3 linked regions of the Drosophila melanogaster genome follow. The protein of the gene in region 1 interacts with the protein of each later gene in a pairwise test. Each region holds a gene or a part of one and is shown in the gene's direction. Other genes may lie near its edges.

Region 1 (8,535 bases):
CACAAGCTTAAAAAATTGGTTTTCATTTAAGAAAAGAGGAATGATTCTAGCTCACTTTCACTGTTTATGATTTATGTTTTCACACATTTCTTTGGTTGCAAACATGTAGACCTATGTAAAATTGTGGCCAAGACAGTAACATAATTATCCCTGTCATCTGACCAAAAATGCGCAGCCAGCAACAGTTGATAGTAAGTCAATTACCCAGTGATATTCAATGACTCGGAGCTGTGGAAGGAGTGCATTGATGAGGCAGCAGCCTTTCAGGACCCTGTTTCAATCTCTGCCGAGTCCTTGGACGCTCTAACGAGTTCTAAAACATTTCGCCCAGCTAAACGAAGCTCAACGCACTGAATAACAAGTAGTTTTCCCCAGCTCGCACATTTTTCCATTTTCCGTGTGTCTTTTATCCCATTTGCTTCTGCGGCTAGAGTTGCGGAAGACTGGAGCCAAAGCTGACTTCAGACGAATCGAGGCGAGGCGGCGTTACTCAATCTGAATCCTAATAAGGTGCAGATTCTGTCGGTCATATGCGGCGTATACTTAATGCAGTCGGTCGGGCTGACACGGAATTTTGGCTTTCGGGCGCAACTAATGAGCAGCTAAATATTTGTTGACAGTCTGCATTCCAGCTCAGGGCTAATTAATAGCTTTGTAAGCTACACAATTTAAGCCCTGTGTGCGGCTAATAAATTCGCCATTGTCAACAAATTAATGTGACATTTTATTTATTTGCCGTGCTCATAATTATGAATAATGCATTTTACATAAGACCAAAAAAAAAACGTGCGTAATTTAAATCCGTTTATCTAACCTTGCCCCACCGCTGAACTACAATAATTATTCCCGTTTGATTCGTTTTTGCGTTTGTGTACTTTTTTTACATCGCTTCTTTCTCATTCTGTAATGCTTGCATAATCCCTCTGTTTGCTCTGCTGACCACTATCGCTGTGAAAGTACAATTTTATTTACTTTAATTAAAATGGATTAGTTTTCCCATCATATGCGTGTGCATATTAAATAACTTTTTTTCGCACAAATATTTAACAAATGTAGCAAATTGCTTTAAATTGTAAACATGTATTAATTATACTCAGATAAACAAGCAATTCAAATGTAAGGTAAAGCATGCATCAAAATCTGACAAAATTGGACAAAACGAGAGGTCCAAAAACCGATAAACCTTTTTACAAAGACGAAGGATTTGCCCAACGGAAAGGGATAACAAGAAGGCTCAGAACAAAAACAAAAGCGCGTTGATGTATGATGTTGCCAATTGTTTGAAGTAAATCAAACGGCACGGCGCTGGGGGGGAAATGGTTGTTATGGAAGACGGGGGGATGCCTGGTAGCCGGATAAGTAAGTGCAGGCCAAAAGCAAAAGGCACATTCTGTGGTCGAAGCCTCATTGAGGCTGCAAAGCAACCGTTGCCAATGATTGCCATGTCCTGGCAGGTCCTTTCGCTATCGGGCTTTATGCCAGTTGCCTTGGAACTGGCCAAACAAAGCGCATTGAAAAATTGCCAGGAATATAGTAAGCGCCCAACGGCCGGACACTGCCGGCCAAAAGTATGCGCCCATGTCCGTGTGCTGACAGCTCCATAAGAGAGGATGTTATATTTCTGTTGCCAACAGTCGGATCGAATTATTCGGTCCACTTTAAGCCCACTTGAAGCTATTCAATCAGCCGACAACTCTTTCGAACTGTGGTCGTTCAATTCCGTGAGAAAGGGACACAAATTAGTGAGGGCAGGCAAGTGCCATCAATTAACTAGAATCCGGATCGATTATTTGCCGCTCCTACGCACATTCGCACATTGGCATGGATAACATTTAAACGAAGTAAACACTTAATGCGAATTTATGGCCGCCAAATGTCCAATTTGGAATTTAAGCGAGCTTGGCAATGAAGAATTTATGGTTTTTGGTCGCTATTGCGGTTAGAATTTTACATAGAAAATCGAACTGCAAAGTTCAATATAATTTTATGAAAGAATCGATTACCTAACAAAGGACACTTCTCAGGCTTTGATTTTGCTACACAATACAATACAATGCCTTAATTGCAATCATATATTAATATGAGTGGAACTGAGCATAAACTATGTATTTCCAAACATTTTGGCCACCATTTCAAAATTAGCACAATTTGCGCCGAGCTGCAAAAGTTTGTCAGCAGGAAAAAAAGGCAAACAAAAAGTTAATTAAAACAAAAATTACGGACAGTGGCCGGCGGTCGTTTGGTGGCGACTGTGCCGCAGCATTAGCAGTGCAGCCAAAAATGCAGCCGAAAAATCTGCGCGCCATCTAAAACAAAAATTAATTTTTGGGCCAGGGAAAGTTTTTATTTCCCTCCCATTGCTGTTGCTGTTGTTCTTGTTGTTGTTGTTGTTTGCTGGCCAGGCGAGAGTTTGCATTGTTTTGCATATTTTATACGGCGGAAGTGTATACGGCAAAGGCACTCGCCATCATGCCAACTACCCCAACCCAAAAAAAAAAAAAAAAAAGCGAAAAAAATGGTATGTGCAACACGCAAATTATGCAGGCGCATAAGACAAACTTTCTGTTTTGCGGATTCGACAACCGGCGGGATGAAAATTAATACGAAAGCCAAAAAACGGGGTTGCCCCCCCACCCACACAAACATCTAGTTCCTACGTATTTCTGAGATCCAAAACTGCATCGGCAACTGGAGCACCGCAGAGTAATTAAAAATACAGCCAATGGCCAGAGCAGAAAAACCCCGAGCAGCTTGTACTGAAGGAGATCATATCGGCCATGTTTGCAGCCCAGAAATCTGAGTCCCTTCAAAATTTGCATCTAGCATCCATCAAATAGATAAAATTGAAGAAATGTCTCAGCTTGCAGTTCTAATAAAAACTATTAAAAAAGAAAAGAAAATTAAACTAAAATGCATTAAAAAGGGTAAAAGCCAACATGACTATATTGAATTGATATTTTATTAAATGTGCTCTAAGCTCATTTCTTATTGCACTGCAGTTTTCAGTTTATAACGGTATAAAATTCTTAAGTGGCTAAGTAATAAGAAACAGACTTACTTTATTATTACTGTTTCTATATTGTTTTCTTTCGGTTCTAAGCGCTTAAAATAGCTTATATTGTCCCAGACTTTTTGAGATTCAGGCACACAGCAAATGGCTGCCGAATTGCAAACGCGATTTAAATGGGTAATGCCAGGACATGGCGATTGTTTTATAATGCAACGTCCCCACTTTCCACTTTTGCGCCTGCAAGCTTATTACAACGGTTAGCTTTATATTTACTATCCCAAGTCGTGTCCTTACTCACTAATATATCGAAGTTTACTTTCATGTGTATATGGTGTGAGCAGCAGAAGTAAGGCAAGAACGTAAAATATAGCGAAAAAAGTCATGATGTCTCACTTCACATGGAGATGTGATAAATCATATTAAAATCTTATATGCGTCAACGAGATGGCTGCATTTAAGATATTAATCAACTGTGTAATTAACTAATCAACAAAGCGCCTATTTCCAAGTCGACAAACCACAGATTTCATGCTTTAGTTATGCCTGTTTTTTGTCTTTTCGATATAATTCAAACTGGTTTCGACACTGTAGTGAAGATGCTGGAGAAAAAGCGAAATACTTTAAACAAAATCAACAAAACCCGGTATTGAGTTTGGGTTCGATTTGTTTTTTATTTTTTCCTGTCTGCCGGCAGTGGCGACAATCGAAAAAGGCAAAAACCAGCCCCCAGCTATTATTCGGATCCCCCATCACCTCCAACTCGCCCACATCCACATCGATCGATCTTGCTGACGCTGCGAGAGATCTTCTCAGTTTCTCGAGACGATCGGACGACGCACGACGCATTCCGCACTTTGGGTCTATTTTCGTGATTAATTTCGAAGAGCGGAGACGTATTCTAATAGGAACCCATGTTCCATTCTGTAACGTGAGTGCCATATAATCTGCAGAAATCAGTACGAATTCGTCCAGATACTCAACAATTTTACGCATACAGTATGAAAAGCCTTGGTGTTTTCCTACAAAAATAGGTCAAGTGCAGTGTTTGTGTAACATAGTGACCTAAAAAACGTTTAAATTCGTTTTCATGTGGATGAAAAGTGCTGAAAACTGACCGAAGAAAAACATATGCTAACAAAAAGTGCAGTTGGCGCAGTTTGAGAGCTACTGAAAGTGGCTGCCAAAACAGTTTTAGAATTACTCTGTAAGTAATTGTGGTTCATTACTTAGTTTTAGACCAACTACACGAAAAATATATAAAAATAAAAATAAATACATTTTACAACAATATTTTATATTTTAATTTAATACATAAATTAATACATAATTTAACATAATACATAATAATAATGTTAAGTCCTTTAAGACATTTGAATATTTCATTAATCGAGCAAAGTAAAAATAAACAAAATTATATCAATATTATTAAAGAATGCATGTTATTATAAATTCAATAAATAAAACACGTTACAATTAAGTTTTTACCAATCACAAGTAAACACACTTTCTACATGTAGATATGATAACATACATCGAACGCGCGTAAAATTTATGTTGGTACCTTTTTATCAACAATTGTTTGGTGAGCTTTGATTTCACATTCATATATAAGTAGATACAAATGAATAATGAACATCTTTTTTTTTAAATAATATAAATATAAATATTATTTAATAAATGAGCTCAATACTTATTATTCGATTAAGTCATTTACAATATCTTACATTGCTTCCTGTCGATGTAAAATTACATATTTCTACTTGTCTGGCAGCCCTGAAATACATATAACAGATATAATAGCTCACATTACAAAAAAATTGCTTACAAAATTTAAAAAAGCATAGAATTAGTTTGCCAAATTCTTTTACTATTCTGCTTTTAGAAATAAAAATTTATTGACTAACCTTCAAAATAATTAATTAGAAATGTATATTTTGTTCTGGTATTTTTTAGGGCGTATTAGGAATCAACGAAAATGAGTCAGTCTTGTATACCAGTGAGCGCAAAGATGTCGAAGGCAAAGAAGGTTTTGGATGAAGCCCGAGAAACTCACAATCCCGAGTTGGATTTGGCCGACAAGGGGCTGTCGTCCTTCGAGGAGTTGCCCGGACTGTGTAAGTATCAAAACCAAAGGATCTTGAAGGAATTATACGGATTTTTGCACTTCTGAGTAAACATAATGGTGGGTTACTTCCACGCAGAATGGAGCCTCGCCCAGCTGCTAAAAAAATTGTAAATTAATAATATTCTAGCGTATGTATTTATGTTGTGGTAATAATATTCATTTAAAATGAGTCTAAGCATCTTTTTAAATGGAGTCGCTTAGTTTTATTTATTGTGATGACGCCAGCAGCAAAATATGCATAAGTTTGAGTGTAGAGAACGTAAACAAACACTGTAAATACCGCAAATAAGATGTGTATACATATCTGGGAAATGTACTACAACTCCATAACTATGACTTCATTTACATAAAATTAGAATATACTACAATTATTAATCTTAAAACCATTAAATTTTTGAGAAAAAAAAAACATTGCGCATGCCTCTGCTTATATTGTTGTCCCGCTCCAACATTCGGCGTCTATACTTGTTGCCTGCAATCAGCTGTTTGCATTTAAACCCAGTGGTGAATTCACAGTGCATTGGACAATTATGAAAAACAATCTTTGATATCACGAAAAAGGAAAAATATGTATTTTAAAGAGTTTAGTATTCTTATTAATATAATTTTTTTTGCAGTCAACATGTCCAACATCACGCGCTTGACCCTGTCCCACAACAAGATCAGCGTAATCAGTCCGGGAATCGCGAACCTACTGAATCTGGAGATCCTGAACCTCTCGAACAACCAGCTGACCGAACTGCCCGTTTCGCTGTCGTCCATGCCAAAGCTACGCATCCTCAATGTGTCCATCAATCGGCTGATAAATCTTCCTCGCGGCTTTGGAGCCTTTCCGGTGCTGGAAGTGCTCGACCTGTCCTACAACAATCTCAACGAACAGGTCCTGCCTGGTAATTTCTTTGGTATGGAGACACTGCGTGCTCTGTATCTGGGCGACAATGACTTCGAGTATATACCGAAGGAGGTGGGTCAGCTGAAGAATCTGCAGATACTCGGATTGCGTGACAACGATCTTCTGGAATTGCCCCGCGAAGTTGGGGATTTGGTGCGACTGCGGGAGCTACATATTCAAAACAATAGGCTGCAGGTGCTGCCACCAGAGATCGCCCAGTTGGACCTACTGAGCAACAAGTCGGTCATGAAGATGGAGGAGAATCCCTGGGTCAATCCCATCGCCGAGCAATATCTGCTGGGCATTAGTCACGTCATCGACTACCTCAAAACGGAGACCTATAAGATGTGAGTGCACCATAGATCCATATATCCATAAATGTATATTCATCTGATCCTTTTCCTTGACAGCATCTACAACCGCCACTTGCAAGCAGGACGCAGTGGACCGCCGCCACCCAAAGCTGACAAAAGCAAGAAGGCCTCTCGAATTCGCGCATAGTGATTCTCCACCAGAAGATCCCAAGATCCCATGGAATTACAAATGTGTTCGTCTCGTTCGTTGTTAACCAAACCCGTTTTCGTATACTAATTTATAAGTACTTTTAAACTAATGCGTATTTCTGCAATGTGCCTTGACCCTTAGTTTCACTAATGAAAATAAAACAAAATAATAGATGCATATATGTATTCCTGCTGGTTTAATTTCGGATCCTATGCGCAAAAGAATCGTTAAATAAAGACACGCTTGTATATTTTATAAAATAGTAGGTTTTTCTTGTTTTTATTATCTTTTCTCATATTCATTCTTCTTTTTTAAGAAATTTGTTCATAATCATAATTAATTAGTTTACTTAAAGTCAATTAATTAATTCTTTATTTATTTTAATTAAATTAATAGTTAAATGTTTTTTGTTTTTGTTCTTTGTTTTCTATGTTTGAGAAAAACTAAAAGCATAGTTCTGCTTTGTTCGCTTTGAGTTTGTTTCGTTTCTTTGCATTTTTTCACTTGTCAATTTGAATTGAATACATTTTTTTTTTATCAATTTATGTTATTTAATTATTTTGTAAACGTATTTCGCCTTCACTGTATCTGCAATTCAAATTTAATTTATTCCTTAAAGTATATTTTAGTATTTATATTTATATATTTTTTATAGAGTTTATTTACAAGAGTTAAAGATGTTCTTTTACGAAAAGTCTGGCAGAAAAACAAACAAAAATGTAAATTCATTTATTCAGTAAATTTCTCCAAAATGATAGCACGGAAACGTCTTGTAAATTCGAATTGAGATAATTCCATAGCTATGCGTCACGATATACAAGTTGGATGTGCGAATGGAAACGAAGACAAGGGTTTCAAAAATAATATCATATAGCTTTCAAGCTATAAATGTCTTTTCTTGGAGTAGTACATCAGTCGGGACTCCGTGAGTAGTTGCACGATTAGTTCTTGAGCATGCAAATACGAAACACAGACAAAAACAAAAAACATAAACTAGTAACCTATGAGACTACAACAAAGCAAATTACAAGCACTCGATAGTATCATATATGCATGATCTATGCACTTTAAGATACTTACATAAAAATAGATTTATATGTTGGCAGATATACACGTATATGATAGATAACATTAAACATAATCATCATTGGCAGTTTTGCTACCAGATTGCTAAAACATAAAGCTTTAAACCTAATACTAATAAAAATTGACAATAGAAAATTGTACCTAAGATAGTAAAAATACATGAAATATAAAAATTAGTTACTTCGTTTGCTTTTTCTGCACAAGGAAAATGTATACGGAAAACAATCAAAGCCACGTTCGAAAGTCATACAGAAAAATGCGTTCAGCAACAAATGAATAAGTTTGGATTGTTTCCACCGTTTTTGTTTAAGTCTCGCTTCTTTATTTAATAATTATGGATTTCATACTTTTTGGTTTTCATCGTTTTTTTTTTGTTTTGCTAGTTTACAAATGCAATTTTGACGGCTTTAAATAAACGTTTAGCCTTCGGTACAGATAAATACAATTTAAATGCTTTGTTGTTTCCGTTCTTTTTTTTATAATGACGCTTAATTAATTCGCACTGTTTTTGTTTATTTCATTTTTTTTGTACAAAACACATTTTGTTATTCAAGTGTGTAATTAATTTTGTATTTCGGCCTAGCGCTTAGAAATCTCACCGACATATAGAATGCTTTCTCATACAATTAAACCTTAGTTTTTCTTCATGTATATTACTTGTTTGTTGTGGCTGCTGCTATTTAATAATTGTGTATCCATAATAAATATATACATACAAATGTATATATATGCAACTTGCAACTTTATATGTATTATGCATGTTGTCGTTTTTAATTACTTTTATTATTCATAATTTGCATTCGTATTTTCATTTTAATTTAGTTAATCAAAAATATCATTCACTTTCAGCTTTTTCTGTATTACGAAATTTTTCTCCTTTTTTGTGTTATTTTTGTATTTTTCTTTTTGTTGCTGGCT
Region 2 (7,567 bases), on another chromosome or scaffold:
GACACCACTGCTCTACTAACCACCTCGGAGAATCCTCCAGCCATTAGTGACAATGCGGACGATATCAAGAAGAGTCTTCTGAGTGATACTACCGTGAAGAAGTACAGCAATCTGTTTGGACTGAAGTCGGCCCAAGGTCGTGGTGCTGGCGAGTCGGATATTAGTTCGGGCTTACTCTCTAATCAGACCAACGGAACCCAATCAGAAGCGGGATCGAAATACCAGCAGTACCCGCAGATAGGCAGCACTGGATCCACCATTGGCGCACTGGCGGAGAAACCCGAAACTCGAAAGATCGCTCAAATCTTCTCCAACGCTTTGTCCAGCTATCTTGATAACCCAGCTACTTTCCGTGCGGAACTGGCTGCCCGAGCTCGCCCTACGGAGCCACCAAGTACTCCCAACTTTAAGCCCGTGACCACAACGGATCCGTCGCTCTTCAGTGATGGAACTGCCAAGTATTATCTGCCCACCAAGGGATTGCCGGACGCGACCACCCCCACACCGAACAGCATTGCAGCGGAAATAAACCATAAATTCGATTCTACTCTGGCCCCAGAGTTCTCCACCACCACTGAGCTGTACGAAGGTAGCACGAATCGCGGCCTTGAGTTCTCTGGGGAGCTTTCGCCGCCAAGTCAGGATTCCGGAGAGGAGTTTCTGCAGCAACAGCAAACGCAATCGTTTGTAAAGTCTCGCAACGATCTGCTCAAGGATGCTAGACCTCAAAAGCTAGTTACGACCCACAAGCCCACTGAGCATCCGTGGGCACTCAAGTCGCAAACGGACTTCCTCGATCCCCTAACCATCAACGATGGTCTGATGAAGGAGCAAAGAACTTCCACTAGCAGTTCCACAACCTCCACCTCTACAACAGCATCACCATTTGCCTACAGGGTGACCACACCCACGCCATCTCGCTACGAGTGGGAGGACATCTTCCGTAGCTACGACATTCCCAGGGACGCACTGCCTTCCAGTAGTGGGCTGCAGAGGATTGCCAATAAGTTGTTCGGTGGCCTCAACGAACAGGAGGCACTGCACCTGCGCAACGTCATGGCAAAAGCGGAGCACGATCGCCAGGTACTAAGTCTGCTGCTGCTGCTCATCCAGACCTGCGATGACCACAATGGCAAGGCGCTGGAAAGGAGCCGTAAGCACCTGCTAAACGCACTAATCGATATTGATAGCAAAACACATGCTGGAGGCAAGACCTCCAGGCAGAGATTGACCACCACCACCAACCGCATCCCAGTGACCACATTCCGACGTGGTGGCGCCGCCGCAGCCGAATACTTCACCAGTACCACGCCTGGCTATACGACAACCACGGATCTGCCCACCACGACAGGGTTGGGGGCAGGCAGCTACGAGGAGACCACCAAGTTCGAGATACGCGTCGAGGATCTGGAGGAGGCCACGACGACGACGGCCCCTCTACTGGAGGTCAACTCGGACCGCAGGGCCCTGGAGCTGCTCAAGTCATTATATTCGCTGGCGTCCAAGTTCAGCAGCAGGCGATAGAGCGAGGACGGTGGCGGTTCCTAGACCTTGCGAGTTAATGCCTAACTTTAGTCAACTCCACTTCCCCCTCTTCAATTCAGTTTGAATTTCTTTAATCTAAAACATCCTATAACTATTTGGATTCTGAACCAGTTACTTGTTAATCGACTTCGTTTAGCCAATGCAATTGCGCAATTAGTTTGTAAATATGTAATCGAAATACTCGACGATGAGAGCCCTGAAATACTCCCACGCCCAAAACAGGCATAGACTTGGTTGTTCCTGATGCCCAGCCAAGCAGTTTCCGTTTAAGTTTAATCGAGAGTTGTATTAAATTAGTTTCTTACTGCTTAGTCTTAACGAACGAGAACACTTTCCAACCAGAGTATCCAGTAGGAGCGATCTATTTGAACCATCTGTACGTCTTGATGTCTGTTTGTAAATATTTATTTAAACTTAATAAAGTACATATAAAAATAAATGAAAAGATAAGCGTAATACTTTGGAGATGGGTGATGAATGGTTATTGGCCAGCTAACTGATTAAACTATTACTACTGCCACTTAGCTGGCCTCTCAATAAGTCTGCTTGGTTAATCCCAACAGCCCAACAGAGACTCTGCGATCGCCTTGACATAAATCCATTGGCTTTTGCGTTTTCCAGCTCTAATATAAATCTTTGGTAAGGTCAGGCCGATCATGTAATCAGTCGAAATTTAAATATTTTTACCATAGCTGTTGAATGCATTTGCAAGAAAATCGAATTTCCCACTCGCAAGGACAAGTAGAATCAGATTGCAATTACATTGCACTTGAAATGGCTATTATATTGAATTGATCAACGTATACGTAACTTATATTACGTATACGTCATGTAGGGTCTCGCTGATATATGAATTCTGATAACTGGCCGCAGTCCCCGAACAATGGATAATCCAGCGTCGTAAATCTGCCAAAGCGCAAGCAGCACACACTAACTGACGAACTGTCGTTGGTCTTTGGGGCAGCTGCCACATAAATATGGTAAAGATGCCGCATCCAAGTCGCGCTTTCAAATTCGTATATATTTCTAAGATCGTTCTGAGCTTGCCCGCAGTAACTTCCCAAGTTTTGGACAGTTCACAGGTCGCCGGTCGAAAAGGATAAGCCGAATATTAGACTCGGATAAGCTCGTCCGCTCGGAATCTCCTGCTGCATGATGCAAGTGCCCCTGCAACGCTGTTCGTGCGTCTTGGCAGGTGAGTTGGCCAACCAGTCGGCGCTGACCCAGACCCAACCCACTGCGGCGCGTAACTCAACAGTGACGAGCGATCGGCTGTACGGCCCATCATTCCGATCACTATTAGCACTTCCTTTGTAGGGGCGTCTGTCTGTCTAAGTTTTTGCTGCCTTGCATATTTACGAGGCATGCGTCTTGCCTTTGGCCCACCGGCTGCCGCAATTCTTGCAAGCCAATTGATGTTGCAGTGCGTTATTTCAGCAACTGGCACAGTGTATGCAACTCAATTCACAATGAAGAGATTAACCAAAATATAAAATTAAGAAACATATTGAATCTTCTAAATGAATCAAGCAACAGCATTTACAATTGTGCACTAAACATTTTCGAAAAAAATTGTTTCTAGTTTGTATGCTTAAAGTATAGTTAATTTGATAAATGCCCCGATTGTCTGTAAATGCAATAGTGAAGCTTTTGACCACTGTGCCCCCGATGTAGGAGTAGGAAGCTGAAAAATAAAGATCGCGGTGCAGAACCATCTAAGCCGCGCTATCAGCTCCCAGAATCACAACGTACTTGGCCTTAATAGGGGCTGCGAAACTCTTCGCTGCCATCGCCATCGATGGCTGCCAGGGCGTTCATTTCGATTTGGTGCGTCGCCAGTTCCACAGCTCGGAGCAGATCTTCGCCAGATTCCACGGACGGTTAGAAAGCGTTAATGTTGGCCCGTCTCTTTATTCCAGTTTTGGTGTTGCTCTGGAGTGGCGGATTAGCCCAGTTGCAAGTCCAGGTAAGCTATAAGGAGATTCTCTTTTCTTAACTGTAATCCGCGCTTTTATAGGCTCAAAGTGGATACAACTATGGGCGTCCCGAGGTAGCCAATGTAGGAGGAGCCACAGCTGGTGGTCGCTTGACACCTGCACCATATCCAACAGCACCAGCCCTGCCACTTACTCCCGCTCCGGCTCCTACTGCATATGGAGCAGGCTTGTTTCCCTCACCCGCTGTTGGATTTACGCCAAGTGGACAGGCTACCACTGCTTTTGGAGCACCCGCCATTGTAGGAGCCACAAACCCCGTTAACCCACCGAGAAGAACTTCATCTGGCGGATTATCTACCCCATCATCTCGCAGTGGACCCTATGGACCGCAGGCTTCGCAGTATGGAGGTACTCCCGGTGGATCTCCAATCCGAGTTGCTAGTGGAACGGGAGACAGCGGGGACTACAACGATTCCGATGGAGACTACTCGGCCATTCCGGGTGTTCCTGGAGTGGATTATCCTATTTATGCCCAGGTGCCGCGCACCAACTTTGACTGTGCGCAACAGCCCCTACCCGGCTATTATGCGGACATAGAGGCCCAATGCCAGGTGTTCCATATCTGTGCCCTCAACCGGACCTACTCCTTCCTGTGTCCCAATGGCACAGTCTTCAGCCAGGAGACATTAGTCTGTGTGTGGTGGAACCAGTACGACTGCGTTTCGGCGCCCAGCTTATATGCGAACAATGCCTATATCTATGATTACTCCGAGAGAAGTGGCTCCAATCTGAGAACATCGAATACCAACAACGTCTACCGTCCGGCCGCTTCTTCCTCGGCTGCCTTCGGGGCACCTCTGGCCACGACTGGAACACTTCGAGCCACCGGAGTGTCTCAGGTTGCTGGATATAACTCCGGCCGGGGGTCCTATCCTTCAGCCACGCCCACCCCAACCGCTCAGCCCCAAAGCCCGTATGGCGCTGGGGCTGTCCTTCGTCCCGCCATTGTCCCGAGCACTGGAGCCAATCGATTACCGCCATCGGGAGCTGCTGTCGGGCTTCTGGCCACTGCCGCCGGAGCTCTTCCCGAGAGTTCAGTGGCTGGATTCGGGCAACAGCAGTCGGGCGGGAATAGAGAGTATCTGCCACCAGCTAGCGTTGGACAACAGCGACAACGAGGAGGCACCAATGCATAGGTAGCGAATGAAAAATTCTGGCGAACCCCTGGGACTTGTACCCGGTTATATGACACTACTCTTAGTGACTCTAGACTTAGCCTCTATATAGAATGTTAGGAGCTCCAAACATAATAACTTGTAAAAATCCCATTAATTGAAATATATTACAGAGAAGTTCTAAGCAAATGAATGGTTTCATGTTTTAAAACCAACTCGCACCTTTCTGATTTAACAACAAATTTGTTCGATTATTATCTGGCTAATCAAATCCTGGTATCACACTTGGTATTCTCTTCCTTTAACTGAGAACGTATTTGGAAGAATGTTTAATATTGGGAAACAAGTTGGGTATTGTTTAAAAATTGCATTTCTTTCCACACTATTCCGCAGTCATTATAACTCTACTTCAATCTTCAAATTTTTCTTTATTGAAGTGCACTGAAAAAATCAATTTGTAAGGTTTGTTTATCCTTCGTCTGTGAAACTTTTCCTTGCTGCAGCAGTTTTCCGTACTCCTGTTTGAAGTCCGAGCGAATATATAAGTGTTTGCCCCTTTTTAGTTTTGGTTGACCCGCTTTTGGCAGCGGTATTGTCGGATTGAAAGCCATCTGAGTGCTGTCGAATTGCGTAAACAGCTCGTGGGAGGTACTAAGGAAAGTAATAATTGTTAGAGTCACATATGTAGTTGCCGTCTTATTACATACAGTTTGCCAATTTCCGTGGGCAAAGCTCCCTCGCCCGTTGCTGGCACTCCATGAGCAATGTGAACGGCCATCCGTCGCACCGTGGGATGATAGTGACGTGCCAGAAGCGCAAGCTCATACAGCGCTGTGCTTGCTGCGTTACAGTACTCAGGATCGTCCAGTTCGGGATCGTAACGACCAGAGCCTATCGTAGTGTCTGTATCCAATAGGTTGTCAAGCACAGAAGTGAGCTGGAAGGTTTGTTTTATTGTGCCAAGCGTGGCCAGGGTGCCATTATGGAGCAGATGCAGACTTCCAGTAAGCAAGCGTTTCATGAAGGCCATTAGACGCTGCTGGCTCATATTGCGACGACGCTTTACGAGCACCTCATCCAAAGTTCGCAAAATAATGGCGAAGTCATCGTGATTTTTGCCTGCCTGCACCGCCAGCATATTTCGGTAAAAGTGCTGGTAGAATCGGATGGGGTCGATGTTTAGCACCTCACCCTGGCCGGAAAGGATAACGAATATGGTCTGAACACAGTGCAATCGCTCCCGGTAGCCCAGCTCGTCTTGGTCCTCTAGAATGCGGTTGAGCACATCGATTAGATCGGAGAAGAAGTCCAAATTAATGACGTGCGCAAACCTAAAAATCATCCTCTATATTTAAAATTCCAGGAAAGAGATTTACAATAACCACTCACTCTGCCAATCCTTCTAGAATAGCGCTCAGCACGCGGGAGGTGGGATCGTTCTTAAGCACGCGGAAGTAAATGGTAAACACCATCTTTATGATCTCGGTGAGCTTCTGATGCTTTGCTTGCTTGTTTTCCTCGGCACGGGTTTCCTCTAGTTCTCTGTTAACCTCGGTGAGCTTCTTACGTCTTTTGCGCTCTTTCTTGGACAAGCTTAGTAAGCGTTGACGATGCGACTCAAGCTTCTTTTGCTTTAGCTCATTCTCCTTTTCGGCATCTAGGTTTACGTTCTTGATTTTAAGGCCCATCAGACAGGTGATGCACTCCACATGAACATTGTTCTGCTTCGTTTTGATCAAGTGATTGATGCGTCGCACTATAAAAAGAGTCATTTCTAACCGTTTGTCGTTGGAAAAGACTGTGCGGAAGCACTGATGGACCGCCGTTCGCATCTCTGCATAATTGCAATTCAGCATATACACCAGAAGCTGGGCAATGTTTTGAACGTAGTTAAAGTATGGATGTGCCACAAGCAAGTCACACATGCACTGTACTGCCACGGTGGCCAACTTCACAGTCTGAGGCGTCCTTAGACCACCTCTCCTGTTAACTTGCGCTGTGATCTGTTCCAGTTTCTGCAGGAACTTTTTAAACTGTTGAAGCAAGGCGTTTTCAAAGGTTACACGATCAAGAGTGGCCTTGCGAAGCGTCTGCATCTTGGTGTCGACCTGACCCACTCGATACTCGGGCAAGATATCTTTGAATATCTCGGTGACAGAGATTATGGCCAGCTTTCTGACGGCCATTAGGTTGGCCTGTCGACTGGCTGGGTTGATTTCGTCCATGAGTTCGTACAGAGCATGAAAGTTGCGCATCTTATCCTCTGGCTTTTCGAGCAGCCCGGAACAAATGATTCCAATGCGATACTTCTGGCGTTCGATCTCCTGCTGCCGGGCAATAAGTAGATCCGTGGTAGAGATAAGTTTTTGGACGGGAGCGGCGGTGGCGGCCTCGACATCATTGACCACATCGTCATCGCTGTCCTCATACTCCGTATCACCGTCTTCCTCGGAATCATCCTCCTCTTCTTCTTCATTCTTCTTTTTCTGCTTGGGCTTAGGTATGTAATCCACCTCTGTCGTACGGGTGATAATCTGACCATCCCTGGACTTGATTGGCAGCAAATCCAACTTTATTTTTTGCGCGTCCTGCTCTTTTTTCGTGTCAGAGGCATAGGCCCTTTCCAAGCCGATGGATTGTCCTTGGTCAGGATCATTCTCGCCGGTCGTCTTGGCCTTTCGCTTGCGTTTGTTAGCCTGGAGCAGGGCAAGATCATCGCCATCCAGCATGTCCGCAACGTTTTCAAGCATCTCATCGTCGCCATCCTCGTTGTCTTCCTCGAGCGGATCCAAGCCCAGGGAGGCCAATTTGTTGTGCTTTTTACGCTGTGCTAAGTTGTCCCGCTTTCTCGCCTTTTGGGAGAATATATTCTGACCCTGTTCGCGCTTCGATTTCAGTTGGTCGCGCTTT
Region 3 (7,634 bases), on another chromosome or scaffold:
TTCTGGCATCATTTTGACGGCTATTAGCTCCTTTGGTGTTGGCTTTGTAGGTGGGGCATGCAAAACCACCCGTCGCGTGGTTCTTGTCCACGTCACTGCTGCAGATCAGGCATCTTGGTGGGGCTACGCAGCCCTTTGCCTTATGCCCATGCTCGCCGCACCGTAGGCAGCAGTCAGAGCGATCGACTGACTTGCAGTAGGGAGCTCGGTGGCCGAATTCGAGGCATCTGAAGCATCTTATTGGGCGGACGTCTTGGGCTATGCGGCAACGCGACCATCCCACAGTTACAACGCCCCGGTTGATGACCGCAATGGCATCGTTCGCGCACATTAGCACAGAGGCTATCTGGGTCCCGTCACGCCTCCTGCGAAGGCCTCTTACATCCTCTGGTTCCAGGCGGATGCCCTGAAATTGGGAGACCAGGGAATTGTGAAGGTCCTGAGCCGTCGTTGTCTCGTCTAGTCCGCTGCAGATTAGCGCAGTCCTATGCGCGCCCGTGCGAACCGAAGCAATCTCTTTGAGCGTCGCTTCTAGCTCATTTTTAAAGCTGGGGATGACCTCCGAGGCTTTACCTTCTAATTCAAGAAGTAGTTCTCCCTGTTGCGTCCTCCTTATTTTACGCACGTGCTTGCCGAATTCGGTCAGACTCGGTTCTGCTTTCATCTTCCGGAGCATATCCGAGTACGTAACCTCACCCGTTTTTTTCAGGATTAGCGCCTCAGGTTTTTTGCGCAGGCGCTTGGGCTTCACCTTAGCCCATTCCTCGTCCTTGTTAGCGTCCTTGGCGACAGACGCATAACTTTCCGGTTTGGAGTCAGCCGTCGTGGGTAACGCCTTCCCGGTGGATTTCGCGGCAGATCGATGGTTGTCCGTTTTGCGGACCTGCACATTCGGTAATGCCTGTCTGGGTGGCGCCACCTGGCTACGCTTTGTCTTTTCTGCCTCAGTCTGTGTGGCAGTACTCCTTGGTGGGGGCTTCTTGTTGATACCCTCCTGTAACTCAATCGCTCTCTTATTGAGCGCCGATAGGTCCACTAGCACGCCCCTATCCTCGCTGGTTACGTGACGCCTAGTCTCGAACGAGGATAGAATGGCGGTGATCTTGGCTTTCATCATGTCCAGGATGCCCTGCAGGTCCTCATTCTGGAGCGTCGTGGTCAGTTCTGGCGAGCGATGCGGCGATCCTGATGGGGACTTCGCTCCCGCCCTTTGGGCCGGCACGCTGATGAAATCCATTGTCTTCAGGCTTGTGGCTGTCGTGGAGACTGTAGTGGCCAGAGTCTCCACCTCCACAGCTGCACTGCAGTCGCTAGCTTTCGGCGGCGGGGGGCCTGCTTGCTCACCTCCCCCTCCCTGGATTTGGGTTCCGACTCCTCTTATAGGGGATCTCGATAGCCTACCACTCCTCCTAAACGGGTCGTTGGGGTCGGGGGCACTGCCCCCCCCTGTTCTGTCCATCAGATATAAAAGGGGGACTTTGGCTTGTTGGTCCCCAGCGCTCCGTGGGAAATAGAACTAGCTTCAGTTCTTAGGTTATATTTCAAATTTTTGTTCAACTTAATTAGTTCAAATTTGAATTTGAATTCGAATTTCGCGCCCAACGAGCGCGCGGCCGAATGACGATCGCACCGCTGATCTGGCAACGCCAGTCTAACCAGCTCGTCGACTGCGAAAGGTTGGCAATGCTATCAGCTGTATTGTCTGATGCAGCTGATCTGATTTATTACCAGTTTACTGGATCACTCGTGAATTCCGGAACGACACCGTGACGCTCAGAAACGCGGCGCAAACCCCAGAGTGGATTTGCAGGTTTATGTTGCAGTTTACGGCTGACCGGACTCGTATATGACGAAATTCGCGCAGCGCAGCAAAAAGACGTGCGAAATACGCGGGACAATGGATGTGTGTGTGTGTGTGTGTGTGTCTATGTGGAAGGTAAACACATGTCTACTTTGAGGCACAGCAAAAAAAAAAAAATATATATGCAAGTGTCGATGATTTAAGTACATTTATAAGTAGTACGAGCAAAATACGAAATCTATAGCTAGATTGCTTCTTACAACTAAAATCAAGTTTATATCTCAAGGATGTGATATTGTAAGAGAATAGAATACGATTTTTCCCAGTGTGACTTCATCTTCAGCTTATTCCTACCCATCTTGGAGCTGCTGCCATTCATTAATCCACATAGAAATGCCAATGGCAGAGTGAGATGTTGATGGTGAGCTGGTACAGATGGAGATGGAGATGGTGAGGTGATGGTGACCAAAGCGAATGCAAACGAAGGCGGCTGAGGCGGCACAACAACAAAGCGGCCAAGAGGCCTATTAGCCACAATAAAGAGGCAGCCTCACCCCCTTTCGAAATCCCCAATGCTCATACCCCTGGAAATTCTATTATGCAGATGAATGGATGGATATGGGACTAACCATCCGACTGCCTAACTGACTGGGTGTTTGTGTGTTTGCCCCGCCAGATGCCATTACAATGTAAACCCAACAAAAGTTCATTCGGTGGACTTGATGCGGGCATGGATGCGGAGACGTCTTCATCTCATCCACGTACTTCTTCTCCACATATCCGAGGCAGCAGCACTTCCAGCCACCGCAGCGGAACAATTGATCAAATATCATAATTTATCAAATGACAATGCAACAGGCGGCGGCCTCTGAACGTTTACGTTCCCGTATTTGCTTGCCCCAATCCCCACACCAAAGACACCGATCTCCAATTCCCAAATCCCCCCAATCCATTCGAAAGCTACAACTTAATTTATTTGAACAATTTAGGTCTGACACAACAGCCATCGTTTGGCTCTGTCGTGTTCTTTGCGCTTATTTATTTCGATGGTCAGTCGGCTCGAATCTATTTAGCATAATTGCAGCTACGATCAGAACCGAGACCCGAGTCCCGAGATAAAATAATGCATTCTTGTGTGGGGTCTGTGTGTAATCCTAGATAGGGCCACCAGTGGGTCAGATAACCAAATTAAAACAGGCTAGGGAAAATATTGGGACAAACCGATTATTGTTCTATTATGGTAAACTTAGCCATGGCATTAGTTCCAATCGAAATGGGAAGTGCATTCTTCATCGAAGATTGTGCATTCAAATCAAATTGTGTGTCAAGTTTGCTCACAAATTGGTAGGTTTATGGATGCCAGATAGGTTGACAATACTTTTGTATTGGTTAGTTTATGAGCTTTCTTTTCATGGAATAGCCAAAGAATTCGATACAGTAGTCTGCGACTATATGGTCCATCAGAAATCTGTGTATAGCATCTACAATTTTTGTGTTTTGTCAAAAGTGAAATTTAAAGTGATACGTTTGCTGTCTCCTTACTTCATCAACAACCAAATTGCAATGGACAATTATGAGAGGGCCAGAAAACTGCAGGAGGAGGCGGGAGTTCCTCCTGGGGGAATCAAGCGGTGCTGCTGCAACTGCAGGAGAAAGCTGGATCCCTACCAACTGTTTGACGATAATGTGGAGGATATAGCCAAGAGCCTGGCGCAGATAATGCTGATCTGTGGCATCAGCACAAGCAAATCCAGCGCTGCCAGGTCGATAATTAAGAGGGCTTTCGTTTACCATGAACGACTGCGCACCAATTGTCCACCAAATCCGGCTACTGACAGTCGCTTGAATCGGGAGGACCTGCTCCAGGCTCTGCGACTGAAGTGCGAAATGGAACCGGTGGAGGCGATGCTCACCTATGCCATCATCAAGCGGGCCTTTAAGGCCTTCTATCACGGCAAGCCACCGGTGACGATCAGCAATCCCATAGTGGATGCGATGGCGGTGCACACCCAATATGCTGCTTGGATGCATGCGGCGCACAAGACATCCAGGATCTTCGACAACTACAAGGCGGCCTTCTTTTGGGCCCACAAGCACTACGAGAGGCAGATCAATCTGGTTTATGCAGCGCTGTATCAACGGATGACTACCAGATCGGATCCCCTCCTGGTGCCGGGCTGTCCTTGCAAGGGCTGTTCCAAGCAGGAAGTTCCCGGACATCCCAAGGCCGGCCAAAGGCAAATGATGAAGATCAAGCTGTCGGAGGGTGCAGATCTACCAGAACCCTGCATCATCTGTGGCTTGCAAGTTCCGCAAATGGATAAGGAGGTCAGGATGAAGAAGCCACCGCGTCCGATCATCAACCATGAGGTTAATCTACCCAGATGCCAGCAGTGCAATTCGCCCTTCCTCATCTGCGAATGCAACATCGATCAGTTGACGGGCGAGCAGTTTGGCGAATGCGGCCAAGACTCCTACAAGGTGAAGTGGTATCGTCTGGAGGAACCAGTGGCCATTTCCCAACCTGTTTCCCAACCGCTTGGCGAAGAGGAGCAAGATACCAGCTATGATGAAGCTGTGGAACCCCCAGAGGACTGGGACAATCACCATTGTCCCATCGACTGCAAGCACGACTCCTGCAGCGAGTCCTCGAATGTTTGCCACAGCACTTCTTCATCTGCATCTTCGGGCAGTGATTTTGCCACCTGTTCCGACGGCGTGGACAAAGAGGAGGATGTTGTGGCCAAGCTGGAGGATTATCTCAACAAACTGTGGGCCGAGGAGGTGGCTCAGAAGAGGAATCCATCGTATGTGCCGCGAACGATTCATCCTCCTGGTCCGAAGTGTATGAAGTGCAACGACTAATTTTGTACGTTTAAATTTTGGCTATATAAATTATTGAGTGATGAAAAGAGAGCTATTGTTGACCCTTAATAGCCAGAAACAAGTAGTCTAAGTACAGAACGTGTTTTCTCACCTCTGCTACCAAGTTTGGTTCAACGAGCTGCCACCATGCCACCATGCCACCATCCGGGCCACCCACTCCCACACCTGGGGAATCGATCGCCCACACGGGAGCCGGCGCTTATCACACGCCCACAGATCGCGTCTTGACAATGGCCACTTAAAATGCCATTGCCGGTTGTAATCGCCACTAAATTGCTGGCACCTCGGCTTATTCGCGGCTGGAGGACGGAATGGGACGTGGCATTCGATGGGATGGAGCTACTGTTGTCATCGCCGGCTGCTCCGCCCAGCAGCTCCCAGGAGCTTCCACATAAATCGCTGCCTTTATCTAAGCACTTGCATCTCGCGCTGGAACAGAGGCTCCTCCAAGCTGCACCACCAGGATGGTGCGGATCCGCGGATTCGGGCCTGTTCACGCTCCTCGCCGCTTATCAATCTCAGCTCATCTGCACGCAGAACAGAACAGAACCGAACTAAACCAAACTGCAACTAAATGGGCAAAAAGAACCCAAGTCGAAGAACATCTTCTGCGAAAAATAATTCCGCAACTTGTCACATTTTGTAAGATTCAAAGTCGCAGAGACAGGCACTAAACTGCAGACGCCTCTGCGCCAGGGATTCTGGGATGGGCCTGCAATGAAAGGAGTCCTTGACTGTCGGGATTTAACTATTTTTATAGGGTATTCGTAGATAAAGGGGCATACTCGAATGTTAACAGCTACATAAATATAATAATTATTAATGGCAACATATTGATCTTAATTTTATAGATGGTTTATTATTGGTTTAGATTTAAAACTTTGACTTTTTATCATTATCATTCCTGTAGTCGAATCACCCGTGTTTACCCTACATATTTTTGGCTAGGCCTAGACTTCACCCTCGAATTGCCGCCTGCATCTCCATCTGCCTGTCGCTGTGGCATGTTAAACTGGAGTCACATTTGCATATAGATTTATTTTTATGTCCACTGCCTTCGGATGGCTCGTGAACTATTTATGTGTGACGACGATCCAATCGCTTGGGGGAGCGATCTTTGGATGGATCCGCGATCGGTTCTTGCCCAAGAGTTGTGCCATTAAGCGATGCCCATTAAATGTTTGGAAATATTGGAATATCTCTAGATAATGCCACGTCTTGCCAAATTTCTAATTATGATATGCTCACATTGAGTTTCTCTATTAGCCCAGTTTTGATGCGTCTATGTCTGTCTTCCCATTCCAAAAAATTTTTTTTTTTGCTTCGGCATGTGTGTGGTAAACAAAGCTCTCACACTCAATTGAGTGCCACTTTTCGGCTTCGGATGAAACTTGGAGGCAACTTGGTGGAGGCAGTTCAAGAGACGCACGAAACCATTGAACTTTTCAATAGCCATCAAATTTGCGTCTAATGCGAACTGAGACTCGGAAAGTTTCCCGCCATCGTCTTTCAATTTGTTATATCCCTGCATTCAATGCGCACTGCAGCCACTCGAAGTTCACTTTGATAGTTCGAAAATCATTTGCACTCGGAAAATGCATTTGAAGTTTATATATATGAAAAGATAAAACATAAGTTTATCAGATGCCCAAGGCAAGCATTAGAACTTTACAAAATTTCTTTGTGTGTACATGCGGCATCTATCTGCTGCATTGTTGTGGGCCTGAAGCTTAATGGTCTTTTTATAGCTGCTCTTTTTCAACTTCAATTAATGAAGTGTCGAGTTGTTAACACCAAAACACACGCCCAGCTCCCAGTGGTGCAGCCTACTCCCACCGATACCCAATCCCCATGGACCGACCTCTATTTCCAAACATTTCGCCCAGCCGCGGGATGGGAACAAACTTCGCCGCGGCTGCAGGTGGGGGGGGCAGCCGAAAATGTAAACAAACAAATTAAAACGAGCATCGACACGGCAGCTGCAGACTTGGCCTCAGGTGAGAAAACGGGCACACGGAGCCGGGAGTTGGGAAAGCGATGGTCGAAGGGGGGTGGAAAATGCATTTTCACGGCAGCGCCAAAAGCAAACAATCCAGACGGCAGCCGAAGCGGCCAGAAGCTCTTTAATCCCGAAAACTTTGGTAGCACTTAGCGGTTTACGAGGCTGCCGAGCAGGCCCTCAAAGTATTTAGATATCAAAGTGGTAAAGGTGATAAAAAGCCATCCATTCCATCCGCTGCACTTTTGGCGACACTTTGTCGAGATTGAGTTGTTAAAACTGGATGTGTGATTAAAAGTGAAGCTATGACGCTAATTCAACTTTTAGTGGGTAAAGAGGTAAACCCACTCATGGTCTTTAAAATGTAATCCAAAATCTGGTTGACAATTGATTACATCTGGGGTTCCCATGGATAGGAGAAGCCTCTTAGCCCGAACTTCCTATTTATTGATCAGTTAGTACACTTCTCACATCATCCCATTGTGGTTGAGTTTGCTCCGCCGCTTCACGGTGTCCAGCGTGATCCGAAATCAGTGTGGGAAAACAGTTGGAGCGACGTCAACTGAAGCGCCGCTTCCACCTGAAACGCCGAAATAAATGTGGAGAAGGCCGCCGCCAACGCATCCGAGCAGTTGGAGTCCGTGGCCAAGAGCAGTGAGAAAAATGTTAATGATAAACCTGTTTGTCAATTAAACAAAAAATATTGTAATAGTTGATAACAGAATGGGCAAACACGAAGTGCAGTGAGCGGGTGTGAGAGGATGAGAACTTCCCAGAACCCAGAATGGTATATTGTTGGGGCAAACGGGGAGGCAGGGAGGGAGTGGAATTGGGATTGGGATTGGGGCAGGGTATGCAACAAGGGACAACCTGTCAACCCAAAAGGAGGGCCCAAAGGCTGGACTGGCTCGATGTGCTTGACTTTGGTTTCATTATCGCCTCGCCTTC

Evidence for each region.
Region 2: the proteins of ics (region 1) and CG14607 interact in a two-hybrid assay, tested with the Drosophila melanogaster proteins (one large-scale study listed by BioGRID).
Region 3: the proteins of ics (region 1) and CG9173 interact in a two-hybrid assay, tested with the Drosophila melanogaster proteins (one large-scale study listed by BioGRID).

What each region holds. Positions count from the first base shown.
Region 1 is NT_033779.5:13,637,699-13,646,233, reverse strand, and holds ics (icarus), read left to right. Parts: upstream 1-3,631; 5' UTR 3,632-4,214; intron 4,215-4,961; exon of another isoform or gene 4,962-4,963; 5' UTR 4,964-4,985; coding exon 4,986-5,124; intron 5,125-5,752; coding exon 5,753-6,374; intron 6,375-6,437; coding exon 6,438-6,528; 3' UTR 6,529-6,787; downstream 6,788-8,535.
Region 2 is NT_033777.3:7,239,164-7,246,730, forward strand, and holds CG14607 (uncharacterized protein), read left to right. Parts: upstream 1-2,596; 5' UTR 2,597-2,697; coding exon 2,698-2,740; intron 2,741-3,464; coding exon 3,465-3,511; intron 3,512-3,562; coding exon 3,563-4,678; 3' UTR 4,679-4,843; downstream 4,844-7,567. Other genes in the region: thw (thawb), read left to right, coding at 1-1,524; Noc3 (nucleolar complex protein 3), read right to left, coding at 5,086-5,308, 5,365-5,988, 6,047-7,567.
Region 3 is NT_037436.4:1,419,093-1,426,726, reverse strand, and holds CG9173 (uncharacterized protein), read left to right. Parts: upstream 1-3,255; 5' UTR 3,256-3,364; coding exon 3,365-4,666; 3' UTR 4,667-5,528; downstream 5,529-7,634.